3 linked regions of the Saccharomyces cerevisiae S288C genome follow. The gene in region 3 interacts genetically with the main gene of each other region. Each region holds a gene or a part of one and is shown on either strand. Other genes may lie near its edges.

Evidence for each region. Genes that interact genetically often act in the same process or in processes that back each other up.
Region 1: mutations in GPI14 (region 3) and YGR050C together harm fitness more than expected from each alone (negative genetic interaction), as found in Saccharomyces cerevisiae (one large-scale study listed by BioGRID).
Region 2: mutations in GPI14 (region 3) and HFA1 together harm fitness more than expected from each alone (negative genetic interaction), as found in Saccharomyces cerevisiae (one large-scale study listed by BioGRID).

Annotation. Positions count from the first base shown.
Region 1 is NC_001139.9:591,060-594,486, reverse strand, and holds YGR050C (uncharacterized protein), read left to right. Parts: upstream 1-2,044; coding exon 2,045-2,401; downstream 2,402-3,427. Other genes in the region: protein kinase FMP48, read right to left, coding at 1-891; SCM4 (Scm4p), read right to left, coding at 2,610-3,173.
Region 2 is NC_001145.3:677,039-686,037, forward strand, and holds HFA1 (acetyl-CoA carboxylase HFA1), read right to left. Parts: upstream 6,527-8,999; coding exon 155-6,526; downstream 1-154. Other genes in the region: ERG12 (mevalonate kinase), read left to right, coding at 7,429-8,760; YMR209C (uncharacterized protein), read right to left, coding at 8,873-8,999. UniProt on the Saccharomyces cerevisiae protein: Catalyzes the rate-limiting reaction in the mitochondrial fatty acid synthesis (FAS) type II pathway. Responsible for the production of the mitochondrial malonyl-CoA, used for the biosynthesis of the cofactor lipoic acid.
Region 3 is NC_001142.9:458,440-462,770, reverse strand, and holds GPI14 (glycosylphosphatidylinositol-alpha 1,4 mannosyltransferase I), read right to left. Parts: upstream 2,390-4,331; coding exon 1,178-2,389; downstream 1-1,177. Other genes in the region: YJR015W (uncharacterized protein), read right to left, coding at 1-50; TMA22 (Tma22p), read right to left, coding at 346-942; YJR012C (uncharacterized protein), read left to right, coding at 2,578-2,976; CAL4 (Cal4p), read left to right, coding at 3,345-4,130. UniProt on the Saccharomyces cerevisiae protein: Mannosyltransferase involved in glycosylphosphatidylinositol-anchor biosynthesis. Transfers the first alpha-1,4-mannose to GlcN-acyl-PI during GPI precursor assembly. Required for cell wall integrity.

The DNA of each region.
Region 1 (3,427 bases), on a different chromosome or scaffold from region 3:
GGTATCAACCATAATCTTGCACAAATGGAAGACATCATAAATGTCGGGTAGATCTTGCCATATGTACTGCCTCGTATGCTGCAGGCTAACGTGTAGGTCTTCTTCATCATTGTAACCACAGGAGAGCCTTGGTACTACGTATTTCCTGTAAATGAATGCAAATGGATCTTTTTCAAACTCATCGAAATTTTTTAGATGCTGAACCTTCTTTGATTTGGAGACTCTAAAAAGGCAATCGCCGAACATCAGATAAAATATGGTGGCACCCAATGACCAATAGTCAGCTTGGTATGTGTTATACAATGGAGCCGATGACCGATCGAAATTCTTCTTAAAACAAGAGTTACTAACGCGGCCAGAGAAAGTTTCTGGCGCCCTGTAATTATCGGTACCAATCTGGAAGTCGTTAGATTTAGGGGATTGGATAGCGTGACCCCAGTCTGCCAACTTGATGTCACCATTTATCGTTAGCAAAATATTTTCTGGTTTGATATCACGATGAGCAATACCCAAGCTGTGAGCAAAGCTGATTGCTGAGCACAGTTGTTTGATTATCTTTTGCATATCAATTTGAATCAAAGATGGAGACGACGGGCTACCTTGACTCTTAGCAATATCTAGAAAGTCATAAAGATCACCACATTCGCAGTATTCTAGCACCATGATGTAGTACGAGTCATCCGTGTAAAAGTCGAGCATCGAACAGATGTTGGGGTGAGGATTACAAGAACTCAAAATCTTCATTACATCATACTCGTTCTTCATGTTGGCTTCTGAAGTTTTGTATTTAGGAGTAATCTTTAAAGCGACGTAGCGGTTATGTGTAGTACTCCATGCTTTATAAACTGTGCTAAATGTTCCTGATTGTATAGATCTTAGTTTTGTATACATTTTTGCTTTTTATTATTCGGTATATGCTGATAATGATGTGCTTATTTAAATGATTGCGTATACGAGTGAGAATTTGATTCGGAGGGTATGAGAGTCGATCTTGAGTCCTATGTTATATGCTTTTTGTCAGTAACGGGTTATTTAATGCTAAGAATAGTTATTATAAAAGGGAAATTTTTTTGTATTAAGAATAGTCATCACTTACATGTGTATATTATATATATATATATATATGTATTGTACTCGTATTATTATTCTTTGGGGAAAGTATTAGTAGGTAGATGCAACTAAGCTCCGATTTTTCCAAAATTAAGTTGTCCCTTATTGCATGGTCCCCTTAATTATCCTTCCTTTATTGTATGTAACATGAAGCTGCATTTTTGTTCTCAGGCAGCATCATCGTTCCCTTCACCTAACCCTTCTAACTTCCTTTTACCTGTTGCAAGCTGTCTCATACCCGCGCTGAAAAGGCTGAGAACTGGGTATTGTCCCAATATTACGCTCGGCTTTTCTTTTCAAAAACTTTGTATTCCAGATACTTCCATGTGCAATTTCCCTAGTGCTCCCTGTACCAAGCCATCGGAGAGGAGATGCCTTCTAGAATTCAAAGCACGTAAGGGGTACAAAAATCGGAACGGGCCGAAGGCCGAAAAGAGACGGCCGTACGTGAGAGCACATGCAAAGTGGTGAACGGGACGTTACGGAGAATTACGGAACCTCTCAACAGAAGATGCGCCAATAGTCCTTCCGAACTAGCTCCACGGGAGGGGTATGAAGAGCAAGCTTGTTTACGCAGCCTCACCACCGCACCGAAAGACCCTCACGACAGAAATGGAGCGCCTTTAATGACGTTCGTCCGCTGCGGGCCAGAACAGCACAGTTTTGCTTCCCCGTTTCTTTTCCACTATTTCGTCACCCGCTCGAGGTGGCTCGCCCGCTCGGAGGCAAGCTGCACATTCATCGAACACGGAGAGGCACGGGCGAGAGAAAAAAAAGCCTATTGACCTAAACGGATGTCATAATGAAAAGAAGGAATCCGGTTTTCCTGGGCATGACTAAGGTAGCACGACTCAACTGGGCCAGATCGGTTGCTTCTTCCGATATACATGCATTAGATTAAGCCAAAGTAAAATCAAAAGAAAATTTAGCGGATATGAAAACCAATCTAATCTCCTCGTTTGCTTTCCGACCGCATGTAAGGTTCGGCTTTCTTGACTTCGGATATAGCTTAAAGTCGATTCTTGACGTCACTTCGCAATATCATTTCATTCCCATTAAACTGGCGTATGGACTTTGCGATCCTTTATTAATAGTTTATCCGGATCCCAGTTTTAGTTTGGCTCAAGCTGCAGGTGAAAAGAAAAAAGTCGTATTCCCTACGTATGAAGATGTTCCGAAACTACTGTTGACGTTTAAGCAGATTATGAATACGTATAGGAAGGGAAGTTTGGGACAGAGACAGAGACAGAGAGTGTACGGGCGAAATGGGAATGAATCACATTCTACGTAATTTGTCTTTGACTTTCTTAGAGATACGTATATAACTTTTTTTTCTGTGTGAAAAATAAATATTCTCTTATCCAATGTGGACAAGAGCCAAAAATACTCTGCTTTGTATATTTACTAGTTTTTTTGGCCTTTTTTTTCGCTAAACATATATATTAGTCTCGCTTAAATAATTGTGATGTTTGAAGGGAACGTGTCACGTGCTTCGTCGTTCATGCTTTGAATCCATCTAGGATACACTTACCAAAGGTAAAAATTGTTATACCGGTTACAATGCTCATGTGCAATGACATGTATGAGTGACATTTTACGCTTCTTTCGGATTCAGGTTTTAATGTTTTGGCGTTGTTCATCTTTGAGAATGGGCATGCAGCTTCCCCATCTTTGACTTCCGGGTGATGTTGGGGTAATTTTTCATCCTTTTGCTTTTCTAAATCATTTTGGTCACGTGTGCATTTTGGGGCTAGCTTGTGATTGAACAGTGATACTAAGTATAGGTAGGCTGCAGATAATGGGGCGACACCAAGTCCGCACAAAAGGTAGTTTGGTCTTTCTCCTGGTGCAGCTAGATAGTAGCTGAGTCCAAAGGCACCAGTAGCTAAACCACCTAAAACGGTGCTCCAGCATCCTAATGTGCACAAAACATTCTTCAAATGTTGAGTTAGAACATTTATTGGGGTGGTAATAGAAATCACGGTAGATGAAGTTAAAATACCGGCGTATAAACCTAATGATGAGACTGCGATACCTTTTACAATAGCTGGGGAGACTTGCATTTGTTTTTTAGTATATGTAAGGATTCTTATGAGTGTTTGTCTTAAACTTGCTTTTCGTGAGGTAAGGGTTAAAAAATCAGCTTGGATATAATTTGGAACAATAGAAACTTCTTTTCTCTCATTTATATACTGATCAACTCACAATTATATAACCTGGTTCTTTTTTTTTTTATTTTTCAACAACACAATAGATTCGAGTATGGGTAAACGAAGAGAATTACTTCGGCATTAAGCAAGGGAAATATCGCGCAACC
Region 2 (8,999 bases), on a different chromosome or scaffold from region 3:
TATTTATCAAAATGATATTGTTGCATTTTTTTTTTTAAATCTCACGTTATTTTTCATTTATATACATACACTTAAGAGAATGTCAGATTTTCTCTTTTCGGCCACCATTATGGTATCTAAGCGGCTATTTAACTTACTTGTTCCTATACCGAAACTATCTCTTTCGCTTACTGTCCACCAACCTAGTTAGCTCTTCAAGGACAATGTTTCCCCTTCTGTCTTCAAATTTTTTCTTAAGCTCATCGATCAACAGCGAGATCTCAAACTCTTCAATGTTCTTGTCAATTTTTTTCGAATTTCTTTCTATGAACTCCACTACTGCTCTGTCATCATTAACATCCAGATCGTTATACCATGACTGAACTATTTTCAACAGGTCGTCGTACTTCATTTTCGTTTTGTTATCACATGTTTTTTTTTGCAGTCTTTTGATCACTTGTCCCTCGTTCAACCTCCTTCTCAGTCTCCAATATAAAAATCTGCGTGACTTTTTCCATTCCAACTCATTTCGGATTACTCCTTTAACTAGCATCCTAGTCGATCTATCATGTAAATCTGCAAACTGTATGCTGATTTGATTGTAAATTGGTATCAACTGTCTCTCTCTTATTTTCAATCTCTTCGTAAGATCATTTTGTTTTTCCAAAGATAACTTTTTTTCTGTCAACGTTCTTCTCAAATGTCCATATGTGGAGTCTAATCGAATCATCGTCTCTATCATTTTCTCCTTACGGTATTTTATGCTAACTACTCCGTCAGGTTCTAACACACCTCCCCTAGATTCAACATCGGCATACATTTCCATTTGTTCAGGATTAATAGTTGGATCTATAACAACCCATGATCCGCCCCTTAATTCACCAAAGGGCGGAATGTATATCAGTATGGGTTGTTTGTAGTCAACCAGAGCGTCAACAATAAAAGACCCGTACTTTAGTACTTCATTGTACATATCCCTTTGACCGCCAGAAAATCCCCTCCAATTGGCTAAGATAATCAATGGTAATTGCTCACCATAGTTAAAATCATTTATAGTTTGAGCTGTTTTGAACGCGGAATTTGGATACCACACCTGTCCTGCTTCTTTAACGGAAAACTCTGAAGAATCCAGATTAGCTGGGTCAGCGGGGATTATTTCTTCGATAGTCTTAGTTTCTACCGCAATAACACCCACGGGAATACCTCCAAGACGTGCTCTTCCAACTATTACACCTTTGGCCCATCCAGATAATGTCTCAAAAAACGAATCCTTATCAAATAGGCCTGACTGGAAGTTGTTATTTGAGTCCCATTTACCCTCTATCAACCACCTTGCCTCATATGGCACTTGCTTGGCAGGTTTGAAGTCTACATCCCTATCCCATCTATCCATAGTTTCAAGAAGTGGAGGACTCATATCTCTTTTCGCCGGGACATATGATAACCATGTCATTATTTTTTCGATGGCTTTCATATCATTACTGGCTGTTAAATGCGCTATTCCGTTTTTATACATGATTTGGGTTCCGCCAATTTGTAGGTTAGATGTATAGATATCGGTACCCAAAACTTTATTAATCGCCGATGCACCCGTCAGTATGATAGGCTTATCCTCCACCTGAATAGTACGTTGTCCTAGTCTGACCAGATAGGAACCTATACCAACGGACCGACAAGTAACAGCAGTAATAGTGAAAATGTCTCTATACGCTTTCGAAGTGGCACCAGCAATTAAACCCGAGCCCTGTAAACATTCAACACCTAAACCCTCTTCGAATCCGACTATTGCTTTAATAATATATCTCTCTTCACCGTATACCATCTTGTGTTCAACAACAACCGAATTTCCTTTCCCAGAATCTTTCAGTAGCTGCATGTCTTTTGGAGCTAAGTATAAGTACTGGAAACCCTTTGTTGGATCAGAGGGGTCATTCCATGCTACACGAAATAGAGGGATCAGCTCTTCGGCTATACCCAATTTAGCTCCTGAATTCGCCGCCAAGTATATCCTCGGGATCCCTCTCTCTCTTGCATAATTTGTGACCCTATCAAAAAACAAATCTTCTCTCGGTCCAAAAGATCCAATATTGTAGGTAATATCATTAGAAATCACGATCATGTTACGCCCTTCAGGATATTCAGGTGTCTGAACCATAATCTCAAAAGCAACCATCCCTATATTATTAAGGCCTGGCTCCCTGTTTACTTTTATTAAATTACCGTTTTGTTCTATCAATTCAACCCAACTAAAAAAACTGTCATTCAGCTTATGTTTTGGAAAATACCTTTTCCACTGTTGGATTGCAGCTTGATGAAACAGACCTGGGAAATCGTACACATATGTTGTACCCATGAATTGAGCTTTGTACCTTTTAGGTTGTAGCCAATCCTTGACCGAGTAAGGAAGAGAGAGAGATTTCTGGCTATAATGGCTCTGCTCACTACACGGTTCCAAAATCAGATTCCCATTTTTCCCTATCTTTTCGTAATATGTCTCAATTTTTACCACATACCCAGATTTATTAGAAATAAGTAATCTAAGCGGGGCTGGCTTCTTTGTTTCTAGGCACTCAACAGAGATGCAAATTTCTACATCTGTGATTCTTTCTTGAAACAATCTGGTTTCGTGAGTCTTTAGAATTGTACTCACAATTTCCTCGAGACGATGTACTGGTATGTTAAGAACTGTATTGAAACTTAAAAAAATATGATTCAAGTCTGAATTTGAGATGTCAACTGCTCCTAGATGTTCTAACATATAAACCACTTGAGCATTGATTTCCGCTTTCAAGTTTTCTTCGGTTGTTTTTTGATCATTATACATGAAGGAATTTATGATTTTCCTGACAAAGAACCTTTTATCTAGCGGCGTAAATTTGCTAATACCTTCAAAAATGCGTATACTACTATCGTATGTAGGTAGTGATCTGATTTTATAGTTCGACATTTTTCCTAACTCTAACGGTGCTTCATAGGATGGATCCATATTTCTTATTTGAGAGATTTCATCGTACGTAGTTCCATCAAAGGAGTAAAATTTAACAGCGGGCGCATTCGCGGCGATAAATGCAAATGTAATACGATTAACCTTGAGCTTGGATAGACCTCTCTCATTTTCATGAAGTTTAATTTTTAAAGTTTTAATTAGATCATTTTCACTTCTGTAACGAATAGGAGATAAAATATTAACAATAAGAGAGTTCTCTCCGCTGGAAAGTCTTTCCTCAGGAATATGAATTTGTTCGTATACCTCGTCTAATGTCTTTTCCAGAGATTCAAGCGCACGCATGTTGACAAGAAGACCAAAACTATTTGCTGAGCTCTTACCTGATGTTGAGGGAGGTTTAGAAAGTTTTGTAAACTCATCACTCTCACCATCAGAATTGACTAAATAATTTCTTAATGAGCTGAATTGCCATGACATTAGTAAATCAGGCGCTCCTTTATGAATCTTAATACTTTTTAATTGATAATTGCCGTAGGCATACCTTGCATAAATTTCAGATGCTATACTGGAAAGAGCCGTATCTTGATGGCCAAAAAAAAAGAACAAATCCTGAAGTTGTATCAGATTTGAATGTATTAAATTACCAAAATCCCTCATACAGGAATATATGTTCCTGCTGTGAATGTTTTCGGCACCAGTATCCTTTATGTGCAATTGCAGGAGAGTTTTAATATGCTCTTTTCTTTTCTTTATGGGAGGGAAAATCCCTCTGAGTAGCACTGATCTTGCCTTTACAGCAACCTCTTTAGCCCACTTAGATTCCAAACTTGCCAAATCATGTATAACAGCCCTGAATTTTAAAGACATCTTAGAGGAATCCTGGCACAATGGCTCGTATTCATGCAATATTGCAGTTACTAACTTGTTCTTTGCGACTACGTTAGCATGCGATAAACTTATGCACAAAATTTTTTTCAAGTTTGTAAGGTCTTTCCTCCGCAGATTTAGTAAGTTTCTTTCTTCATGTATATCATGATTTTCAAAAATTTTCTCAACAGCATAGTACTTTTTAATCAACTTTAAAAAAATTTCACATTCGTGATTAGCTAAACCTTCGCTATACCTTTCACTAATTTTAAGAAGTGGCTGTAAGGCAACATAAACTACATGATCATTTGTATTTTCTTCCAAGTAGCGCTTCATTAATTTGTGCAGTTCCTTTGCAGGAAAAGAAACAGATTTCTTGACTAGATTTCCCAGCCCCTCATTCAATTGCCTTGGTAGTCTATTGCGTACCGTAGAAATTTGGGAATCCCATTCTGAATAAGGAAGCCTACCATCTCTCAATATTTTTATCAACTCTTTTAGAGTAGTTTCTATTCCAGAGTTTTCATGATATCCATTGAGAATATTTTCTAACCTATTTATTAAGACTCTGAGCTTATGGTTTGGTCGGCTACCCTCTATTAGCGGTGGACCTAAAACAGGTAATTCTCCGCGGTATAAAGACGATTCGTTAGCTTTGGACGGCGAATCCAAAGTCAATTTTGCGATGACATCACCAGCCTCAATTATGGAACCGGGCTGTCTTAGTAACTCAATTACACCATCACTTTTCGCTACTAGTGGCATCTGCATTTTCATTATTTCTATTTCTGCATATTGCTGTCCAGCAAAAACGTGATCACCACTTCGGACCAAATATTTCACCAATTTCCCCGGAGTTGGAGAGATCACTTGAGTGGGATTGAGTTCAGCTTCTAAAAATATGGTATTGGAGTCTATCGAAAGTCTTGTACCTCTGATATCGTCCTTCCAATAAACTGTATGGCATTTACCGTCAACGGAGATCAACAAGCAGTCACTGGACAATTTTTGAACATTAACTTCACATTGAGACTTATTGATAGAAAGAATAAATTGTTCTTCAGATGATTGAGCAACATTGAACAAGTATCTATTATTATCGAAAATGAAGTCAACAGGAAACTTCGTTTTAAGAAAATCTTTAGGTGGAACTTGGCCCCTCCGCAATAATTCCAAATACTTATTCCTCACCTTTTCTGTGAAAACGTATGCTTTCATTGCGGCACCACAGATAATAGCGAGCGTTGGATCTAGTTTGCTATCGGAAGATAAATTTTTCAAAATCAAATCATCTAACCAACCAGTCGATATGTTATTACTCTCAAAGTCCCGAGTTTCTAATAGCTCTATCAGGTACTCTATGGGGGTTTTGAATTCTCCTCGGATGGAAAAATCTTTTAGAGCTAAAACCATGTTTTGCTTTGCATCTTGCCTATCGTTTCCTACAGCAAAAATGTGCCCAAATTGGGAATCTGAAAATGAGTGAATAGCACCATTATTTCCTACTGAGAAGTAACCCCAAACATTGGAAGAAGAACGAAAATTGAGCTCATGTATTTTCCCAGTGGAGGGCTTGAAACCTTCATTAGGATCTTCTGAAGTGATCCTGCATGAAATACAATGGCCTTTTGGCGAGGGTCTCTTTAAATTTTTAAAATCAATATACGAAGTTCCCGTTGGATCTAAACCATAAAGTTTTCTGATATCACTTATCATGTGCATAGGAATGCCCATGGCGATTTGCAGTTGAGTGGCAGGAAGGTTTACGCCAGATATCATTTCTGTCGTTGGATGCTCTACTTGTAGTCTCGGATTCAGTTCTAAAAAGTAAAATTTATCATCTTTTGGTGAATATAAGTATTCGACAGTGCCCGCAGAAACATAACCTACCAATTCACCTAGACGAATTGCTGCGCGTTCCATCCTTTGAAACGTTTCAGGCTTGGTTATTGTCACTGGTGCCTCTTCTATAATCTTTTGGTGCCGCCTTTGTATGGAACAGTCTCTCCCAAACAATGTAATGTTAGTGCCATATTGGTCAGCTAATAACTGTACCTCTAAGTGACGAGCATCAGTGACAACTTTCATAACAAACATAGGCGACCCAGGTGTCTCATTCACTGCTTGGCGATATAATGCAATAAAATCATCCTCATTATCTACTCGCCTAATGCCCTTACCTCCACCACCTTCGGATGCCTTAATCATTACAGGAAATCCTATTAATTTAGCCTTTTCTAAAGCATCTTCAGGTGAGGAACAACATCCCCTTACATATACATCATCCGGCACAGATACAAAGTTCGTCTTGTTATCGATATGGATAGTGTCTATATGTGAACCAGACCAAGGGATACACGGGATTTTAGCGCTTTGTGCTACAATAGTGGAAGAAATCTTGTCACCCAATGATCTCATAGCGCGTCCAGGAGGACCAATGAATAGTATTTTCCTTTGTGAACTAGCTAACAGCTCAGGAAGACACGGATTTTCAGAAGCATGGCCCCATCCAGCCCAGACCGCATCCACATCCGTTTGCTCTGCCACGTCCAGTATTAAGTCTATGTTGGCGTAATTGTTGTTGTTGGTACCCCCTGGTACCTGCACATATTGGTCTGCCATTCTAATATACTCCGAATTTGCGTGTAAATCATCAGGTGTCGCCATTACCACGAATTGAATGATTTTTTCATCATTGAACGTCTCGTACGCCCATTTTCTTATAGATCTCATTTCTTTCACCGCAGCAATACCATTGTTTGCTATTAAGATCTTTGAAATAACAGTATGTCCACCACGTAAATCAACAAAATCTCTTAATATTGAAGGTTGGGCACTTTCCACAGTATTTAGCCCTATGAACTGGGGCGGTAATCGAGTATGTTTATGAATATTGCCTCGATCCACATAATTGGAATACCTTCTTCTAGATGGAAAATTCAAACCTATTCGAGATGAATGCCTATACGAATGGGCAAAAATGCGTTTTCTGTATTCAGGGCGCTGTCCTTTCAACCGTACTATCTGGCTGCCCGTTATATTATAGAATCGATAAGGATCCAAATATAACGCGAGCTTGTACTGTCCTATTCGAATGCAAGTAATTGTGAATATGGTAATGTAAAAGTGAGAATGTATCCGGCGAGCCCCCCAGCTTTGGCCGTGTGTAATTGTCTTCCCTTTCTACCCAAGATGACTTCTTCTTTATCATTCTTCATTATTCATCTTTTCTTGTCATCTGCCGCCCACCCATTTTAGTTACCCTAACGGAAACATTGATGAATGATGCTATTATTACTGTCATAAGCAATAAAAAGAGAGGTTCCTACTACTTCTCCCGTGGAAAGCTAGCGATAGCCTTGTACTCTATCTCACTTTCAGAATGCGTACACATTTATGTTTAAAGAGGCGTTTTGTGCTAGTTTTGTCTCAACGTGTATTTTATCGGTTGTAATTGTACTGACAATTTTCGGGCCTCGTTTGGCTGTCGCACTGAAATCTTCGACAGGGTATCGAAGAACGATACAACGATATGCCTATAAAGGTTAGTTAGCCATGATATTACTTCCTGGTTAGCTGGTGCGCTTCTTAGTCCTAACTTGCAAATTTATATCTACGTATAGAAAACTGTCAATATGTCATTACCGTTCTTAACTTCTGCACCGGGAAAGGTTATTATTTTTGGTGAACACTCTGCTGTGTACAACAAGCCTGCCGTCGCTGCTAGTGTGTCTGCGTTGAGAACCTACCTGCTAATAAGCGAGTCATCTGCACCAGATACTATTGAATTGGACTTCCCGGACATTAGCTTTAATCATAAGTGGTCCATCAATGATTTCAATGCCATCACCGAGGATCAAGTAAACTCCCAAAAATTGGCCAAGGCTCAACAAGCCACCGATGGCTTGTCTCAGGAACTCGTTAGTCTTTTGGATCCGTTGTTAGCTCAACTATCCGAATCCTTCCACTACCATGCAGCGTTTTGTTTCCTGTATATGTTTGTTTGCCTATGCCCCCATGCCAAGAATATTAAGTTTTCTTTAAAGTCTACTTTACCCATCGGTGCTGGGTTGGGCTCAAGCGCCTCTATTTCTGTATCACTGGCCTTAGCTATGGCCTACTTGGGGGGGTTAATAGGATCTAATGACTTGGAAAAGCTGTCAGAAAACGATAAGCATATAGTGAATCAATGGGCCTTCATAGGTGAAAAGTGTATTCACGGTACCCCTTCAGGAATAGATAACGCTGTGGCCACTTATGGTAATGCCCTGCTATTTGAAAAAGACTCACATAATGGAACAATAAACACAAACAATTTTAAGTTCTTAGATGATTTCCCAGCCATTCCAATGATCCTAACCTATACTAGAATTCCAAGGTCTACAAAAGATCTTGTTGCTCGCGTTCGTGTGTTGGTCACCGAGAAATTTCCTGAAGTTATGAAGCCAATTCTAGATGCCATGGGTGAATGTGCCCTACAAGGCTTAGAGATCATGACTAAGTTAAGTAAATGTAAAGGCACCGATGACGAGGCTGTAGAAACTAATAATGAACTGTATGAACAACTATTGGAATTGATAAGAATAAATCATGGACTGCTTGTCTCAATCGGTGTTTCTCATCCTGGATTAGAACTTATTAAAAATCTGAGCGATGATTTGAGAATTGGCTCCACAAAACTTACCGGTGCTGGTGGCGGCGGTTGCTCTTTGACTTTGTTACGAAGAGACATTACTCAAGAGCAAATTGACAGCTTCAAAAAGAAATTGCAAGATGATTTTAGTTACGAGACATTTGAAACAGACTTGGGTGGGACTGGCTGCTGTTTGTTAAGCGCAAAAAATTTGAATAAAGATCTTAAAATCAAATCCCTAGTATTCCAATTATTTGAAAATAAAACTACCACAAAGCAACAAATTGACGATCTATTATTGCCAGGAAACACGAATTTACCATGGACTTCATAAGCTAATTTGCGATAGGCATTATTTATTAGTTGTTTTTAATCTTAACTGTGTATGAAGTTTTATGTAATAAAGATAGAAAGAGAAACAAAAAAAAATTTTTCGTAGTATCAATTCAGCTTTCGAAGACAGAATGAAATTTAAGCAGACCATAGTATCCTTGATACATTGACTCATAATCAGTTAAATAGCCATTCAATCCCTTTGAGCTATCAACTTCATATTCCTCCACAAGGTCCTTC
Region 3 (4,331 bases):
TCCATATTATTATATGCTGTTGGTTCTATATCATCTAGAGATGAAGTCATAACTATACTTACTTACGGCTGGATTGAGTTGTGTTTTGTACGCCTATGGTCAACAACAAATTTTGCAGTTTTTCGGTTGCAAATAATTTGAATAGGCAATGGGGACTATATTTATTGTCCTACTACGAAGGTTTCAGAGAAGGAACGGCGCAGGCGCACGAGGGCCGGCTGCACAGTATATATGAGCGACGATCTCAAGAACGATATAGGGTTTGACTATCTAACCTACACGCCTGGTTACCAAGTAAAAAGTCCTTTTCTCCCAGAACGGTGCTATTACATATTTATGGATTGCTTACTTGGCAGCTCCTTCTGCAGCAGGCTTTTTCTTCTTCTTAGCATCGATGGTTTCCACTTTGACGTCCTTTAGGCCTTTTTCTTCCAGCAAGGAATGTATGTAAGTTTCCACTTCATCCATCACGTCACCTTGAATGACAACTTCTTCTTTTTTCTCTGCATTTTTCGAGACTGAGCACCCTGTGGCGAACCTAGACGCAAATGTCTTGGCTAGCTTTTTCATGTCGATGTCGAAAACTTCCAGCCCAGAGATAGCGACGATAAACTTTCTCTTGGTCCTAGCTTCTCTTTTAATGATCACTTTCGATGACAGCTTCTTAGCTAATTCTCTTTGTTCCCTGTTTTCCTGTTTTTTTTGAATTTTCAGCAAGTCCTTTTCCAACTTTTCCTCTCTAGCTTCGCCAATACTGGATTCAGCCAGTTTGTTGGTCACGGCTTCCACCTCTTGCGTATTATCGTCAGTACCGTATAGCTTTGCATAAAGGTCTGCGTGGTTTTCAGATAACCAAACTTTACAACGCTTTAATTTTCCTGAAAACTCGCAGTACTCTGGTGGGTAGGAGCAAATTCCACAATAGATGACTTCTCTTAACATTTTATGCAATATGCTTTTCTTTAGTTTAGCTCTTGAACTGTTTCCTTGGGGTGATTTTATCCAGTAGGAATTAATAATTTTTTCACTCACACATCACATCAAGTATCTTTTTCCTTTTTTTTTTCAGCTTTTTTCTCTTTTGGTGGTGCGCTTTTGCATTTTTTTTTTCATATTTACACATTCATTATATGAGTAGATTTATAGAATTGATGTACATGGTGCAAGTTCACGTCAGTCAGTTGTTCTTTTTGTTGGAAACTGTGGGTTGCGTCGGTATCTTAATATCAGTAATAAATTGACCCAGTAGCCACACATTGGTGACGAAAAATAACACGCTTGCAATAAATAGTCCAGGATAGAATACATTCTTGCCTTCGAATTCCAAATAGTAACCTTGGCTTAACCAAATTCCCTGCGTTCCTACCCAAAGCGTGGCCATTAAAAGCCCCTTCTTCCAACCAATGTGCGTTCTTGAGAGGTAAAATGGTAGAAAGATCAGGTACCAAACAAAATATTGCGATGTGCACACTTTATTATATGTCACAAATGCGAACGTCTGCACAAATAAAACCCTCAATAGGTTATCGAATGTGGGATTCCACCATTCAAGACATCCAGTTACTAAAACAAGCAGCAATTGAGGCACAAATGCGTACCTTGAGAGATTGGACTCACCATTTTCCTTATTTGCAGAATCTAAATACAATAGCATGTTCCACACTGAAAAATTGTGTCTGTGATCCGTTCTGTATAAGTGGTACAAGTATGCCTGATCCAGAAACTCGTATCCGTATATCTTGTACATTGCCCAACCACATCCAAGCAAAGTTGTTAGAGTACTCAAACCGATATTGAGTAGCGATGTAAGTTGTGTTCGTGGACCCTGGTTTCTTTTATTGTAGTATATAAAAATTGCTATTGGGATACAATATATGATTGGATATATTTTGAAATGGATAGAAAGACCATATAAGATTCCAGCTAGGGTGTATCTACTCTTTTGTAGAAAAAAAAGCGTGAACATGATCAAACAGCAAAGCACGCTTTCAGCGTTTCCCCTTGTACTGATGGTGATAACCATCGGATTCAATAGCCAAATGCTTTCCAATATTAAAGCTCTTTTTCTGGAGATGGCCTGGTTCAAAAGCTTCATTATAATGAGCCCAGTAACCAAATCGAAAATAACAAATATGACCTTCCCCAAATGAAACCATCCAAAATAATGATTAGGCACTAGCAGCCAACTTAGTAGCGGTGTGTAACGATATGTATCCCTTGCATAAGGTGATTTGCCTTCGTATACATATTTAGCAGCATCATGAAACACAAAATAGTCGATATCAGTGTACCTCACTTTGAAATTAGCGTCCTGGTAAATGCCAAAAAGAAAAAATCCGACTCTTACCAAGAATGACAGTACAGTCAAGCCCCATTCTTCGCCAGTCATCTTTCAACTTTATCACCTTTTACCTTGCTTGTCAGTTGTTGACTTTTTTATGTATATATATTGTGTTTTTTTTTGTCAAGTTCTTACCAACTATTAAAGTTTCTTTTATTATTATCGGAGCCTGTAAAAGAGCTCCACATGTTTCGGTTTACCTCTTGAAAATTGATTGCGAACATAACGAGTCAAGCATGGCAGCAGGTGGTGAACTTAGTTATGAAGAGTTGCTGGATCACATTCTGAATAACAAGCCTATACCTAATATTGTGGAGGTGCCCAATGTTACGCTGGATGAGGGTTTAGCTAGTACTCCTTCATTGAGGCCAAGACCTAGGCCTTGGGAAGGTCAGCTGCAGCATCAATCTCATCAAGGATCATTAGACAAACCCAATATATCTCTGGACATTGATCAAGAAAGCCTAGAAGGCATGACCTCATTAACAAGGCTGTCTGAATGTTACGATATACAGTCTAAGTTACAGATTAATGACAGTGACAACGATAATGATGACAATAACAATGATAACAATAAAGGCGATGGCAATGATGACGACAATAATACAGTAACAGCAAATCCAACAGCTAGGTAAATTATTCACCCAACAGGTATGTAAAAAAATGCATTTATATATTTATATATAGTACTATTATCTTCCCTTTTCTACTTAAATTTTATATCGCTCATTCATACTTAATCATAGACCTGCCCTTTTTGCGTTTAAAAGAATACAAAGGCACATGCATCTCCTTCTTTTGTCTGCATAATGTTTCTAACAAAGTTAGTGCGATATCTGTCGTTTTATCCTTTCCTTTTTATTAATTTCACAGTCTGATCTTTTATTGTGATTAGATAAGCGGCGTTGGTTTTAATTTCACGCTAGTTAAGTCAAAGCAGAATAGAGAATAGCTCTACAAGAAAAAGGACAAATAAGGTAACTGTGATAGCATATAAAGGCGTATGAGTGAAACACGAGAATCTAATGAAAGTACAGTTTCGTCTTTACAAACCAAACTTTTGCTCAATGACGGAATATCCGAAAACAACAAGAAAAATGTTATACTGCTGAATCAAATAGTGCCGTTTATTCTGAATACTTCACATTATATGACGGATCTAATGTATGTCTTGTATTATCTGGCTCAAAAGCAGGAAGACGAAGTATTAAACCATTCTGGCACATTTATTTCACACAAAAAAGAACTCCTTGCACTAAAGAGTGATATTTGTGAACTAATTTACGATTTAAGGACAGGATTCCGCTTATTATTGGATAGTTGTGAGTTAGATCACTTTGAAACTCCTGGAAAATGCCGGCATTTGATCGAGAAGGTTCTAGTCACCTCCATTTATGGAGTGAACAGGTATATTTTCCAGGAATTAAACAGATTAAATGTCGATTTTAAAGATGAATTTATATTACAAATGCAAAATTGTTTATCAGGATTCGTTAATCTCTACAAATTTTTGAACAAGATCCCTATGAGTAAACAACAGTCACAGATGAACGATTTACAGATGAAGATCTTAGTTAATGTGTTACAGAATGAATTGTTACCCATTTGGAAGTTTCAGTTAGATCTTTTGAATTGTAAACTATTTAACGAGCTCTCTAAGGATAAGGGCCTGATTAATATATATAGAAAAGCTACGAACGATAGTGTTATTGATGTTAGCAAGGGTGAACCATTCATCAGATATGTTAATTGGCTAAAGGACCAAATTATTGGTGAAATGACGGTTTAATGCAAGTAATGTAATATAATACAAGAGTATAAAAATAAGGTTCTACACAAACATCTATAAATGTATAGATTATACTAGTTTGGTTGGCTTCTTAGCGTTTCTCTCATCTACGTAAGATGAACGCCATGTGTACACTTTTCACATTTTAAATACATCTCGCGTGGAGGAGGGATAATAGAAACTATTTAGAGAAAAAAACGA